Oryctolagus cuniculus: one gene and its partner. The protein of the gene in region 2 interacts with the protein of the main gene of each other region in a pairwise test. Links are inferred from orthologs where the notes say so. Each region holds a gene or a part of one and is shown on either strand. Other genes may lie near its edges.

The links. The genes of interacting proteins can lie anywhere in the genome.
Region 1: the proteins of YAE1 (region 2) and LTO1 interact in binary tests that used the Homo sapiens proteins (3 or more experiments, as listed by UniProt). The link is inferred for Oryctolagus cuniculus from reciprocal best matches to the Homo sapiens genes YAE1 and LTO1.

The regions. Positions count from the first base shown.
Region 1 is NC_091432.1:3,226,810-3,234,099, forward strand, and holds the start of LTO1 (protein LTO1 homolog), read left to right. Parts: upstream 1-2,773; 5' UTR 2,774-2,856; coding exon 2,857-2,906; intron 2,907-3,436; coding exon 3,437-3,542; intron 3,543-4,480; coding exon 4,481-4,548; intron 4,549-7,211; coding exon 7,212-7,290. UniProt on the Homo sapiens protein: The complex LTO1:YAE1 functions as a target specific adapter that probably recruits apo-ABCE1 to the cytosolic iron-sulfur protein assembly (CIA) complex machinery. May be required for biogenesis of the large ribosomal subunit and initiation of translation.
Region 2 is NC_091447.1:29,674,132-29,681,430, reverse strand, and holds the start of YAE1 (protein YAE1 homolog), read right to left. Parts: upstream 3,862-7,299; 5' UTR 3,794-3,861; coding exon 3,665-3,793; intron 1,665-3,664; coding exon 1,543-1,664; intron 1-1,542. UniProt on the Homo sapiens protein: The complex LTO1:YAE1 functions as a target specific adapter that probably recruits apo-ABCE1 to the cytosolic iron-sulfur protein assembly (CIA) complex machinery. May be required for biogenesis of the large ribosomal subunit and initiation of translation.

The DNA of each region.
Region 1 (7,290 bases), on a different chromosome or scaffold from region 2:
CAGGCCCAGGGTCCTCCCTGTGCTCACATCACGGGCTGCGGGGGCGGGGGAGGCTGGCAGGGCTGGGGTGGGGCAGCTTGAGACTGCGGGGGTCCCCCAGGGCAGCGGGTGGCCTGCCTGGAAGAGGCTGGCTGGCGGGCAGAGCAGCCCCAGGACCGACCCTGGGTCTTGTCTGTTACTGGTGCCCGGGGACTCTGGGCAGCTGTGGCCTGCTGGTGGGTGAGGGGCCGTGGCGGCGTGGGGTCCGGCTTGAGCTGTGGTCCCTGGGAACCCCGTGCTCCCGGGCGAGGCGTGGAATGTCTCCAAAGCCTGTGTTGCCAGTTGCCCTGCGGGGTGGGGGGTGAGGGGACCTCGGGCGGGGCCGCCACGATGCCTCCTGACGTGGCCGCGACGTGCCGTGGTGACCCGTGGGTGCAGGCAGGACCGCGGCAGAGCAGCACCCCAGGGCCCGGCCGTCACGCGTGGGGCCTCCCTGAACACGCGAGGAATGCGTCTCACGAACAAACCATGCATGGATGTCCACGTGTCTTTTGTACCAAAATAAAGTTCATTGTGAAATTCTCAAAGCCCCGCCCCCAGCCCAGGATCAGCCTGGGGGAAGTGGGGTTTCCCAGGGTGTCCCCCCCAGGCCCCTGACACCCACGAGAGGGAGGGGCGCTGAGCCCAGGCCGCGCAGTGGGCCTGGACACGGCGCACGGGCGCCCCCCGCTGGCGGGAGGCGGGAAGGCGTGCGCCAGGCCGGCAGCCGGGTGTCCCCGGCCCGGGTGGGCTCCATGTGCTGGCCGCCGTGGGGTCGCACAGGGCAAACGCAGCCGCCGCCGGCTCCGGCGGGCCCCCTGCGCGATCTCGTCTGCGGCACCCACCTGCGCGCTCGCAGACGGGAGGGGAAGGGCAGTGGGCGCCTTCAAAGCCCCTACCACGTGCCTGCAGCCTGGGGCGGGGGAGCCGTGGGAGGAGGGTGCTGTCCCGCCCCCAACCCGGTGCTCAGGTGTCAGTTACTCTCCTAACACTCGCCGGTGCGTTTATTTCCCGCACGGTCAGTGTCCATCCCTCTTCGTGGGCACCAGGATTCCGCCCATTTCACAGCCGGGAAAACTGAGGTGCGGGAGGACGCAGCTCACCAACGTTGCCTGGAGGAGGAAGCTGGCAGGGGGGCCGCCCGCCCCTGCTGCCCTGGAGACCCCAGCCTTGGGGACGGGTTAGCCCTGCAGCCCGCGGGTGGAAGGGAGGCGGCTCCCCTGCCCCGGGAGGAACAGAGCCGGGGGCCGTCTGTCCGAGGAGGTGGGGCTGTTGTGCTCCCCCCCCCCGCCCTCTGGGGGCGCTGAGGGTCAGGACCCCAGGGTGAGTCCTGCCTGGCCGGCCAGGGTGGGTCCTCGTCCAGCCACACGCGGGCCCTGGGCCTGCTCTGGAAAGAAATGTGGTCCCCTGGTCCCTCCCTGGACGGAGACGACCCCAACACGACGCTCAAACTCAGCCTGGGCCCGCAGTCCGGCCAGCAGCTCGGCTCTGGACCACAGGCCGCGGCCAGGCCGGAGCTCAGCCCTGGGGCACGGCCAAGGCCCCCCCCCCCCTGCGGCCAGCCCCTAGGGCACAGCAAAGCCCCCCCCACTGCGGCCAGGCCCTAGGGCACAGCAAAGCCTCCCCCCCCCCCCCGTGCGGCCAGCCCCTAGGGCACGGCCAAGCCCCCCCCCCACTGCGGCCAGCCCCTAGGGCACGGCCAAGCCCCCCCCCCCCCCACTGCGGCCAGGCCGGAGCTCAGCCCTAGGTCACGGCCAAGCCCCCCCCCCACTGCGGCCAGCCCCTAGGGCACGGCCAAGGCCCCCCCCCACTGAGACCAGCCCCTAGGGCACGGCCAAGCCCCCCCCCCCCACTGCGGCCAGGCCCTAGGGCACGGCAAAGGCCCCCAGCCTCCTACTGCGGCCAGGCCCTAGGGCACGGCCAAGGCCCCCCCCCACTGAGACCAGCCCCTAGGGCACGGCCAAGCCCCCCCCCCCCACTGCAGCCAGGCCCTAGGGCACGGCCAAGGCCCCCCCCCCCACTACTGCGGCCAGGCCGGAGCTCAGCCCTAGGTCACGGTCACAGCGCAAGGCCCGCCCGCCCGCCCGCCCGGGGGCCTCCCGAGCGCCCGAGGAGCCGGCTGGAGAACGCACTTCTTCTGGGCGCAGGGCCGCCCGCGGGTCCGGCTCGGACAGGTCCTGCCGAGAGGTCAGCGGGGGGGACTCTGCTCCTTGGGGCCTGGCCTGGCTTTTCCCGGGGGGCAGAGGCAGGCTCGCTCCACACTTCGAACAGGCCAAGGTCCCCCGAGGTGACCGCAGCCCCAGGGCGACCGGGGAGGGCGTGGCTGAGTGGGCGCAGCGGCTCAGACCTGGGGAGACCCCCGTCCCCGGGCCGTGCACCTGCGTGGGAGACCCGCACGGAGCTCCGGGCTCGGCCCGGCCGTCTCGCCGCCGGAGGGGAGGGTCTCGGAGCCCCCCGCCCCACAGGCCGCAGGCGGAGCGCCCTGAGGAGTAGGCGCTCGGGCCGCCTTTCCTGTCTCCTCCTTCCCGGGCCACTTTTTGGCGACTCGGTTTCATCTGCTTGGGTTTAAAAAAAAGAAATCCCACACGGGAGCCGCCGCAGCCACCGCCGCCGCGCGCGACCGAGCGGGCGGGACGCCGCGGACCGGAGCGGGCGGCGCAGGCCCACTGCGCACGCGCGCGCGCCATCTGGCCCTTCCCGCGCGCCGTCCTTACCCAGCCTGCCCCGCGCGGCCGCTGCCGGAAGTGGGCTCGCTGCCTCCGCGGGAGCGGCGCGCGCGTTCGTGTCCGCGGTCCCCGGGGCCGGCCGGCGGCGGGCGGGGGCGGCCCGGTCGGCGCCATGGCCGGGAGCGAGGACGTGTTCGATGCCATTGTGATGGCGGATGAGAGGTGCGTGCGGGGCCGGCTGCCGGCCCGCCTCCCCGCTCGGGGGCGGCCCCCGGCATCTGCTCGCCCCTCTCTCTGCGGGGACGGGCCGTGGCCATCTGGGGGCCGCAGACACCCGGGCCAGACGCCGCCGGCCCCCGTCTCCTCGCGGGGGTCCCCGGGGGGCGCCGGGGCGGGGGCGGGCGGAGCTGGGGGCCGCCCGCGGATGTCTTTGCTGACAGGCGGGCGGGGGGTCGCGGGACCACCTGTCGCCGGCATTTGTCCGGCGCGCCGGCTCGCCCTCGCCCTGTTTCACGGCTGAGCAGGCACAGCCGCCCCGGGGCTCCGGGGGCGCGGGGCGCAGGTGGGGGCGGCGCCGGGTCCCCGTGCGTGCGTTTGGCGCGGGCGGAGGTGGTGCGCGCCCCCGGGCCGCCCTGCGTTTCGGTGCTCGGCCACGTCGCCCACCCCTCACCGCGGCCGTGGGCGCTGGGGCGTTGCGCGTGGGCGTGGCCCTGCCCCTCGGGCTCGGGGGACCGACCGGCTTCTCCGCGCAGGTTTCACGGGCAGGGCTACCGGGAAGGCTTCGAGGACGGCAGCAGCCTGGGCGTGCGCGAGGGCAGGCGCCACGGCGCGGCGCAGGGAGCCAGGATCGGCGCCGAGGTGAGCGTGGGCCGTCCCCTCCCTCTGCCCCGCCGCGTGGGTTTCGGGGGCGCCCACGGCCTCGGCTTGAAAGGCGGGGCGACGGAGCTTCCCCACGTGCCTGCAGCAGCTGGAGCCGCGGGCCTGGAGCGCCGCCCGGTCTCCCGTCGGTGTCTCCATCCGGGTCTCCCGTCGGGTGGCTCCTTCCGGGTCTCCCACGCGGGTGGCTGCATCCGGGTCTCCCGTGCAGGTGGCTCCATCCGGGTCTCCCGCGCGGGTGGCCCCTCCCGGGTCTCCTGTCGGGTGGCTCCATCCGGGTCTCCCGTGCAGGTGGCTCCATCCGGGTCTCCCACGCGGGTGGCTCCATCCGGGTCTCCTGTCGGGTGGCTCCTCCCGGGTCTCCCGTGCAGGTGGCTCCATCCGGGTCTCCCGTGCAGGTGGCTCCATCCGGGTCTCCCGTCGGGTGGCTCCATCCGGGTCTCCCGCGCGGGTGGCCCCTCCCGGGTCTCCTGTCGGGTGGCTCCATCCGGGTCTCCCGTGCAGGTGGCTCCATCCGGGTCTTCCGTCGGGTGGCTGCATCCGGGTCTCCCGCGCGGGTGGGGCCCTCATCGGCGCCCCCGCCCGGGTCGCACCCGCAGGGAGCCGCTTGCAGCGTGGGTGCGGTGTCCCGAGTGGTGTCCCGAGCTCCCGCCCAGAGACGGGCGCCTGCGTCGGTGGAGAGGAGCCCTCCGCGGCCCACGCTGGCCCCCACGGAGCAGGCGGTTGCGCCCAGTATCGTCCGGAACTCGGGAGAAGCCGCCCTGGGTGCTCGGCCGTGGGCCACCCGCGGGGGCGGCCGGACACGCCAGGGCCTTGGGGCTGGGGCTGCGCTGGTGTCGGCCTGCTGACCGCGGCTCCCGGCCCCGCCCCGCTGACCGCGGCTCCCGGCCCCGCCCCGCTCACAGCTGTCCGCTCCACAGATCGGCTGCTATCGAGGCTTCGCCCTGGCGTGGAGGCACCTGCTGCGGGGCTGTGCGGCCGAGGACAGGTGAGGGCGCGGCCTGGCAGCCGCTGTGTGTCCGCCCGAGGGCGGCCAGGCCTGCGCGTCGGGCGTGTGCGAGGTGGGCGCCGGTGGCCGCGGGGGCCCCGTGCTGCCCATCTGCTCCTTGCCGGCACCGATACCAGGTGGCTCCTGGGTGCCGCCTTCTCGTGGGCCCGCCCCGACGTCCACTGCCGCCGCCGGGTGGTGGGCACTCGGAAATGGGGCTCCCGCACCGCTAGGTTTTGTTTACTTATTTATTTTAAATCCTTCCTTCCTTCCCTCCTTCCTTCCCTCCTTCCTTCCTTCTTCTTTCTTTCTTTCGATATATTCATTTTATTTGAGAGACAGAGTGATAGAGAGAGGGAAAGACAGAGTCTTCCGTTGGCTGGTTCACTCCCCAAGTGGCCGCAACGGCCAGGACTGGGCCAGGCCGACACCAGGAGCCGGGAGCTTCCTCCAGGTCTCCCACGTGGGTGCAGGGCCCAAGCACCCGGGCCGTCTTCCACTGCTTTCCTAGGCCACAGCAGGGAGCTGGATGGGAAGAGGAGCAGCCGGGACTTGAACCGGCGCCCATGTGGGATGCTGCGCCACAAAGCTGGCCCCGCCTCTAGATCTGTCAGTTTAGAGAGGTGGAGAGAGCCCCGTCCATTTGTTCCCGACTTGTCCACAGGAACCCAGCTGCGCGAGCCGTCCCTGCTGCCCCGGGAGCCGCGTTAGCACAGCTCTGCGGTCGGGGGCTGGCGGCGGGATCGGACCAGGCCCTCTGCTGCAGGCCAAACGCCCGCCCACGCCGCCCGCCGAGCCTGGCAGCGAGGCAGCGCACCGGGCGCGGTTCTGGGACGTGCTGGGTGGCCGCGTGGGCGGCGTCACAGCCTTCGGAAGCTGCCTCCCGTGGTCCCCGGCTCTGGGCTGCACTTCCTCCTTGCCCGCTGTGGCCTGGCCTGGCCGGCAGGGGCACCAGGAGGCAGGAAAGGCGACGTCCCGTCCATGTGACCCGTCCGTGTGACCGACCTCTTGGTGGACACATCCTGAGTTTCTGGGGTGGGCCGGCCCGTGTTCACGGTCAGCGCGAGGGGCTTGCCGCTGGGGAGAGGGGGTCCTGGCCCAGGTTCACCCTGGGGGACTCCCCCAGGGCTGGGAGTGCAGGGCGGGGCTGGGCCGTGTGGGCGGCTGTGTGCAGCCCTGCTGCCACTGGGTGGCAGTCCGCGCCAAGCTGGGCTCTGGGCTCCGTCCACAGGAGGAGGAGGGCCCTGCCTGCTGTCCCCGCTGTCCCAGCGGCAAGTCTGGCCGGGGCGGGGTGCTGCGTGTGTGTGTGCACACGTGAGGGCGTGTACGTGTGCATGTGTGTAAGAGTTCCCACAGCCAGGAGGCTGCCAGCCCTCACCCTGGCGGGGCTCCCGGGTCACCGGGTGCGTGGGGGCTGCTCAGGAGAGCCCCGTGGGCCCACTGTGCTGCGCCCACCCAGCCAGCAGTGCCAGGGCTCTGTTTCCTGAGGCCTTCCGGCACGGTGTGGCCTGTGGGTCAATGCGGTCTTTCTGTGGTGTCCTGGCGCCGCGTCCCGCTGCCGCGCAGGGAATCAGCAGGACGACGGCTCAGGCCCCGCGTGGGAGACCTGGGTGGAGCGCCGGGCTCTGCTGGTGTCTGGCCCAGGCTTGGCTGTCGCAGCCATTTGGGGGGAGTGAACCAGCAGCTGGAAGACCTCTCTCTCTCTCTCGCTCGCTCGCTCTCTCGCTCTCGCTGCCTTTCAGAAATCAGCAGGTTGATCTTTAAGGGGCGCGGTGCGGACAGGGGTCTCCTTTTAGTTTTTCCAAGTGACAGGAAAACACCTTCCGTGTTGTCGCGCGCTGTGAGCTGGCCAGGGGAGGCGGCGGCCTGGCCTAGTCGGTGGGCGCAGCCCTTCCCTCTGCCACGGAGCAGAGCCCAGGGGGCAGAGAGACAGAGCTTCCGTCCGCAGGTTCCCTCCCCAGATGGCCGCACCAGACAGGGCCGGGCTGGGCCGAGGCCAGGAGCCAGGAGCTTCTTCCGGGTCTCCAGACACTTGGGGCGTCTTCCTGTGCTTTCCCAGGCCATTAGCAGGCACTGGATGGGAAGTGGAGCAGCCGGGCCTTGAACTGGTACCCATCTGAGATGCCAGTGTCGCAGGCTGCGGCTTCACCCACTAGGCCACAGCGCCGGCCCCACGGTAGCTCTGTAGCTGGTCGGCCGTGGCAGCCGTTAGCTCGAGCCCGTGAGACCTGTCGCTGTGTTGCTGTTGGTCCGTCCTGGGGCTCAGCTCCTCCTGACACTGCCACGCGGGTGGCCCAGCAAGGGCTGGGGGCTGCTCCTCAGGGCCCCGGTCTCCAGTGCCCGTGGAAGCTGGGGGGAGGGGGCGTTCACGGCACACCTGGGGACAGAGCAGGTGTCACGGAGGTGGATTTGTCCTCGGGTCCCCCGCGAGGCTGCCGCCGCGCTCCCCATCCCGGTGGTGACGGCGTCAGGGTGCAGGGGGCGACTTACTGTTAGCCACAGGTCCCAGAGGCAGAGGGACCTGCGTGTGCCCCGGCCACCCTGCCCCCGTGCCCCGGACAGCCGCTGAGCTGTGGCCCGGGCAGTGCCGTGGCCCGTACGGTGCTATGGCCACAGTTGCTGCAGGGGGGAGACACGTTGCCGGGTCTGTGGGTGTCCCGCAGCGTCGGAGCGCCTGTGGGCGTCGGGCAGGCGGCCGGCATGGTGGACCGACGTGGTTCTGTGCCTCGCGGCAGGAAGCGG
Region 2 (7,299 bases):
CTGCCATCGGATCACTGTGGTGCCGCGGCGGCCATTGGAGGGTGAACCACTGGCAAAGGAAGACCTTTCTCTCTGTCTCTCTCTCTCACTGTCCACTCTGCCTGTCCAAAAAAAAAAAAAAAAAAATTCAGCAGTGGGGCTGGCACTGTGGTACAGCAGGTTAGGCCAATGCCTAGGATGCCCACACCCCATGTTGTAGTGCCATTTGCAGTCCCGGCTACTCTGCTTCCAATTCAGTTCCCTGTGAACGTGTTTGGGAGGTGGTAGATGATAGCTCAGGAGCTTGAGCTCCGGAAACCTATGTGAGAGACATGGATGTGGTTTCTGGCTCCAGGCTTGTTGCAGTCATTTGGGGAGTGAACCAGCAGATGGTAGGTACATCTCTGTCTCTTTCACACTGCCTTTAAAATATATAAATGAATAAATATTTAAAAATTCAGCAGTAAGCTAAGCTTATAAAAGATTAATTTAACTTGATGTGAAGATGAACACTTGATCAATATCCTACTATAGTATACTAATTCTAGTTTGTGACTTAATTAATGAATTAAAATTAATTCTAGTTCTAGTTGACTTTTCTAAAATGCCAAACACAACTTTTTGCTTTGTTTTACTAATTTTTTAGCTTCTAAAATTATTAGTGATTCTTTAAAGCAGCTTTCTCTCCAGAGGACAGCTTGAAAGGTATAAAGCAGGAGCTGGCATTGTGGTGTAGCAGGTACGGCTGCCATCTGCAATGCCTGCAATCCACAGGGGCATGGGTGCCGGTTCAAGTCCTGGCTGCTCAATTTCTGATTCTGCCCCTGGCTAATGGCCTGGGAAAAGCAGTGGAGGATGGTCCAAGTGCTTTGGCCCCTGCTAGACATGTGGGAGACTGCAAGAAGCTCCTGGCCTCGGCCCGGCTAGGTGCTGGCTGTTGTGGTCTTCTGTGGGGATGAACGAGAAGATGGAAGACCTCTCCACCTCTCTCCCCCTCTCTCTCTCCCCCTCTCTTTAACTCTGCCTTTTAAGTAAATAAATAAGTTAAAAACAACAGTCTAAAGCATCAAGGAGGACAGACCTGTCAGGTCTTAGCTCCATCTGATCATTTGGTTCTGCCATATGCTGTTACTGCCCTGGCTTCCCGACAGGTATTCAATGTTAAGGACTACAATACATGGAATCATTTTACCTTTATTACTCACTACAATTTCCATCTACTTCTAGTTTAGAGGTCTGTCATATTGGGTTCTGCCAAATGTGCAAGTACTAAAAGTTTTATTTAAAGCCTGAAGATCTTGTAATTAGAGACTGGCAGTAATTCTGGTAGCAAAGAGTACACACCCTCTTACTGTTTCCATGCCCAAAAAAGGGACAACAGCTGGCTCACATATTAAAATGGATGAGCTGATAATGATTTTTACTCTTTGAAGGCAACATTCTATGTTTTTCCACACTCTTGTGTATTCAACAGCAGAAAGAAGCACTTTAAATGTTTATTTTTAATATTCATAAAAATCATCCTGTAATATTAAAGATTCAGCATTTAAATTTCTGAATTACCTCAGTGTTCCTCTGAGTTCTCCATAGTTTACAATGATTGCTGCACCTTCTTTATAGCCTTGATTGAAGCCCTGTTGAAGAGCAACTGCTTTGCCAGCATCGATTCCTTCTCTATAGCCTTCCTAAAAATAAGCAATGAACAACTACAGTTGTAACTAATACCAAGTGAACCATATGTAGGCTTTTCTAGAAAGGCACAGACCCAATTTAGAAAACTGATGAAACTGGCTTTTACTGCATTCTTGAAAATAATATGGTATAGCCCCACAAGCAATGCAGGTTATGTTCCTCATAAAAATTTATTACCGGTTTATTGTTCCTTATCCCACTTTTGAAGTGTGTTCTCACCCAGTTTTTAACACCTCTGTTTTAGCAATGTCTTCACAGAAAGGAAACATGGAAACTTACATGTCTGGCCCTCTGGCAACTGAGTGGAAAGGTGTGAGTGGGTGAGGAGACAGAACAAAGTAAGGAAAGGCAAAACTGTTTTAGAAGGAAAGTGAGAAGCCTGGTTTTAGAAATTTTGCTTGATCCTGAAATCCAAGTAAATTCTCTGTGGACAGAAACTTTGTTCTGCATGTCCCAAGTATGTCACAGTACTCAAAAGATGCTTATTATTGGGGCCAGCACTGTGGAAAAGGGGGTAAAGTGGCTGCCTGCAGTGCTGGCATTCCATACAGGCTCTGGTTTGAGTCCTCGCTGCTCCACTTCCGATCCAGCTCTCTGCTATGGCCTGGGAAAGCAGTAGAAGATGGCCCAAGACCTTGGGACCCTGCACTGGGAGGAAGCTCCTGGCTCCTGGCTTCAGATTGGCCCAGCTCCAGCTGATGGGGCTTTTTGGGGAGTGATCCAGCAGATGGGAGACCTCTCTCTCTCTGCTCTGTAACTGTAACTTTGTCTTTCAAGTAAATAAATAAATTCTGAGAGAGAGAGAGAAAGAGAGAGATGTGGCAGTATTGACTGGTCCAGCCTTAGCGTCACATAAAACTTTTTGTAACTGACAACGTGGTTGCTGAACTAAGCAAATATTGTTTTGCTGAAACATTAATTTGGGGCAGATCCCCAATACAGCTTTAGGAGCAATTTAATGGCTGGCAAATATAGTAAGTGGAAGCAACCCCCACCATTTAGTCTTCACCCAGTACTAAGCTCTGAGTACTCCATCTGGAAATTACGCTTAGACTCAACAAATAAAATTAGACATGAATAATTCACATCCAACAAATAAGAAGAAAATTGGTTTTAATATTCCCTTACTTGGTCATCAGTATTCCATCTTAGCTTTCTCCTACTGCCTTTTTTTTTTTTTTTAATATTTACTTGTTTGTTTGAAACGCAAAATTACAGAGATGCAGGGGCAGAGAGAGATCTTCCATCAGCTGGTTCATTCCCAAATGGCTGCAACTGCTGGAGCTGAGCTGATCCGAAGCCAGGAGCTTTTTCTGGGTCTCCCACGTGGGTGCAGGGGCCCAAGGACCTGGGACATCTTCTACTGCTTTCCCAGGCCACGGCAGAGAGCTGCTCAGAAGTGGAGCAGCCGGGACTCGAATCAACTCCCATATGGGATTCGGGCACTGCAGGAGGTGGCTTTACCCGCTATGCCACAGCCCCGACCCCTCTCCTACTGCCTTTAACATTGTAAAGTTCACTTTTTTCGTGTATCTTGGTTAAAACACTCCTAACTCTGGGCTCCCCACCCACTCAAGCTGCCCGTGGAAGCCTGAATGCGCGTCCTTTGACAGCCATAATCAGCAGTCAAGTAATCACTGTATTGGTATGTCTCTCCCCCACCCACTTCCCTGTGATCATCATCAGACAGCAATCGCTTCCAAGTGTGGACAACATGTGTTTTGGTGGGCGTCCCGCTTCTCCAACGCCCTCCCGCAAGCGCTCAAACAACGCGTCTCTGGGGTTCACCCGCTTCCAAGCAACCCACTGGGAAATCCTGGCGGGACGCGGGGCGCACCGCGTGGCAAAGGGTAAGGACGGCGGCGCTAGCCAGACTGGGACCACTGGGACCACGGTGGGCCCGGCTTCTTCACAAACTCGGGGCTCCGCTCCACCACAGCCCGGCACCCCCCGGGGTCCCCGCACCCTTCCCACCCCCCTCCCCCGGCTTTACTTTCACTCGTTTCTGCATGTGACTCCGCCATTCCCGCTGTACCAGGAGCGACTCGTCAGCTTCCTCATCAAACACGTCCCCCTCCTCGGCCGGGCTCTGGACCGAGGGGGTAGCCCGAACCCACGACATCACCGAGATGGCTACGGAGCCGCAGGCAACAGGAAACACCCGCGACTCCTTCCGGTGTGAGGGGCGGGACGAAGACTGCGCTCCTGGCGCTCAGGGCGGGTGCGCGTGCGCCGAGGCGATCCGTCGTGGTTGCGGGCTGTCCAGCCTGACGTCCAGAGCTTTTGGACTCGCGGACTTTGGGACTAAGTCAGTTAACACAGTGTGTCCGTGTGCACCTTGATTCCTTCCTCGGCTGGGGCGTGACCTTGATCAGACCCCGCATTCCTGTCGTAGACTGCAGTGTTCTGGGTGTGGGAGAGGCTCCTTTTGTAAAATCACTCAAGGCGGTTGAGCCAGTACTGCCCAAAGACTGTCTCAGAATCTCAGCGTGTTCAGGGGACGTGACAACCTGACACGGATTGATTGTTAGGAGCTTGGAGCAAAGAGCAAAAGAGTCAGAGAGTGAACTACTGCGGCCCATTTGAGATCAATAGGAAATAGAAAGGTTGCCTTTGCCATCGATACATCTTCCTTGATTCTCAGTATCCTTCGCTGCCTTCCACTCTTGCTCACGTGCGCTAAATGCAAACTGTGATCTTGGCGAGGGCGGGAACTTGTCTGCCCCAGCACCAGCAGGTTCTGACACTGCAGGTGAAAGCACCCCAGTGGCATCCCGTTTTGCCTTTGTTTGTGTGGGTAAATGAGTCCTGTGACAGTCGTGGTTTGTTTGTCTTACCTTTTCTTGAATACCTGTGTGTCTGGATACATTAGTGAATAAAACAGATAAAAGTTCCTAGCCCTTTGGATTTTATTCCTGTAGAATTTGCAGAGCACACACAGCAAACAAATATGAGTAACTTAGGTAGTTTGAAGATTATAAATAATAAATGTTATGAAACAAATTTAAAACAAGTAAAGTAAAGGGAATCCTGAGTGTGTGTGTGTGTGGGGGGGCGAGTGGATGGTGCAGGCTACAGATTTAAATTTTAGAATTTTGCATCTCACAAATATATAACCTGTAAAAGGCATATATTAAGTAAACTCTTAAAAATGTATTTGTTAATTAGAAACAAAATGGCAATAAAGGAATCAATAAAAACAATTGAATAACGTTGACTAGCTGAGCGCATTTAGCCTAGTGCGTGAGATGCTAGCCTCCTGCATTGGAGTGCCTTCATTAGAAGCCAGCCTCTCACTTTGTTTGGAGTGCCTGAGTTTGATGTGCAGCTCTGACTCCTGACTCCAGCTTCCTGCTAATGCAGACCCTGGGAAGCAGTGGTGATAGCGCAAGTGGGTTCCTGCTGCTCACATGGGAGACTTTGATTGCCTTCCCAGCTCCCAACTTTGTCCAGCTCCAGCCTAGATTATCACTGGTATTTTGGGAAGTGAAGCAGTGCCTAGGAGCTCCCCCTCTTTGTCTATCTCTCAAATAAAATTAAAAAATAGAAAATCTTTTTTTGAAAAGATTTATTTATTTGAAAGTCAGAGTTACACAGAGGGAGGAGAGGCAGAGAGAGAGAGAGAGAGAGAGAGAGAGAGAGAGAGAGAGAGTCTTACATCCGCTGGTTCACTCCTCAATTGGCTGCAACAGCCAGAGCTGCGCTGATCCGAAGCCAGGAGCTAGTAGCTTCTTCCGGGTCTCCCACGAAGGAACAGGGGCCCAAGCACTTGGGCCATCTTCTACTGCTTTCCCAGGCCATAGCAGAGAGCTGGATTGGAAGTGGAGCAGCCGGGTCTTAAACCGGCACCCACATGGGATGCCGGCGCTTCAGGCCAGGGCGTTAACCCACTGCGCCACAGTGCTGGCCCCCCAAAATAAAAAAATCTTAAAAACTTGCAAAAATAAATCTAAAAATTGATTCTTGGAAAAAAATCAATAAAATAGATAATCTTGATGTGGTTTTGATTTTAAAGGAGAAAAAGTATAAGATAGGAGTAAAAGAAGAGGCAACCACTGATGTAGAAAAAAAAAGTATTATAAACTACCCACTGAAACTCAGGAGAAATACATTTGAAAATCTAAAATAAATGAATAACTTCTTAACACAGTTGACCCAGGAAGTAGAAAACATGAAGAAACAAATTACTATACAAAAACTGGGATTCAGTCTCTACTATAAAGAACAGGATGGAGACTTAACAGTTTCACAGCTGAGTCTTTTTTAATATTTAAAATATGATAGATAATTTAATATTTTTCTGTTTTAGAGCAGAGAAAATGATAGTAAATTCCTGAATCATTTCATGACACCAGGCTTACTGTAACCTGACAAAGATGGTTAAAAAAAGAAAAAGCAAGCAAACAGAATCAAAAGGCCAGGGACCAGCATTGTGACATTGTGGCATTGTGGATTAAGCTATTACCTTCCAAACCGGCATCCTCTGTGGTCACCAATTTGAGTCCCAGCTGTTCCACTTCTGATCCAGCTCTCTGCTAAAGAGCCTAGGAAAGCAGTAGAAGATGGCCCAAGTACTTGGGCCCCTGCACCCACATGGGAGACCTGGATGAAGCTCCTGGCTTTAGCCTGGCCCAGCCATAGCCATTGCAGCTATTTGGGGAGCGAACCAGCGGATGGTAGACCTCTTTTTCTGTCTCTCCTTCTCTCACTGTAAATCTGCCTTTCAAGTAAATAAATTAATCTTAATTAAGATTTATTTTATTTGTTTGAAAGGCAGAGTTACAGAGAGAGGTAGGGACAGAGAGAGAGGTCTTCCATCCGCTGGCTCACTCCCCAGATGGCTGCACCAGCTGGAGCTGCGGCAATCCGAAGCCAGGAGCCAGGAGCTTCTTCTGAGTCTCCCACGTGGGTGCAGGGGCCCAAGTCTTGGACCATCTTCTACTGCTTTCCCAGGCCATAGCAGAGAGCCGGATAAGAAGAGGAGCAGCGGGGACTTGAACCGGCGCCCATATGAGATGCCGGCGCTTCAGACCAAGGCTTTAGCCCACTGCGCCACAGCGCCGGCCCCAAAAAATTAATCTTAAAAACAAAACAAAACAAATTCCAAAGTTCAAGTTAGTTTATGAATAGATATTCAAAAGAGACTCCAATACTTCATCAAAAGATATTTCAAGAAGTTTCATTCCATGAAAGCAAACTTTTTTCTATATTAGTATATCTCTTAACATATTTCATTGCATCAACAATTTAAAGGGAAATATATATTAATAAATGCTGAAAATTATTTGAAAAAATTTAAAAACAAGTTATGATAAAACAAAATAGAAATAACTATAAATTGATAAAAGGCCTTACCAAAATCTGAAAGCAAGTAGTAGTTTCAGCACTAAGTTTTTTTTTTCCCAGAAACCTTTTATTTAAGGAATACAAACTGATACATTTCTTCCTTTTTTTTTTTTTTTTTTTGACAGGCAGAGTGGACAGTGAGAGAGAGAGACAGAGAGAAAGGTCTTCCTTTGCCGTTGGTTCACCCTCCAATGGCCGCCGCGGCCGGCGCGCTGCGGCCGGCGCACCGCGCTGATCCGATGGCAGGAGCCAGGAGCCAGGTGCTTTTCCTGGTCTCCCATG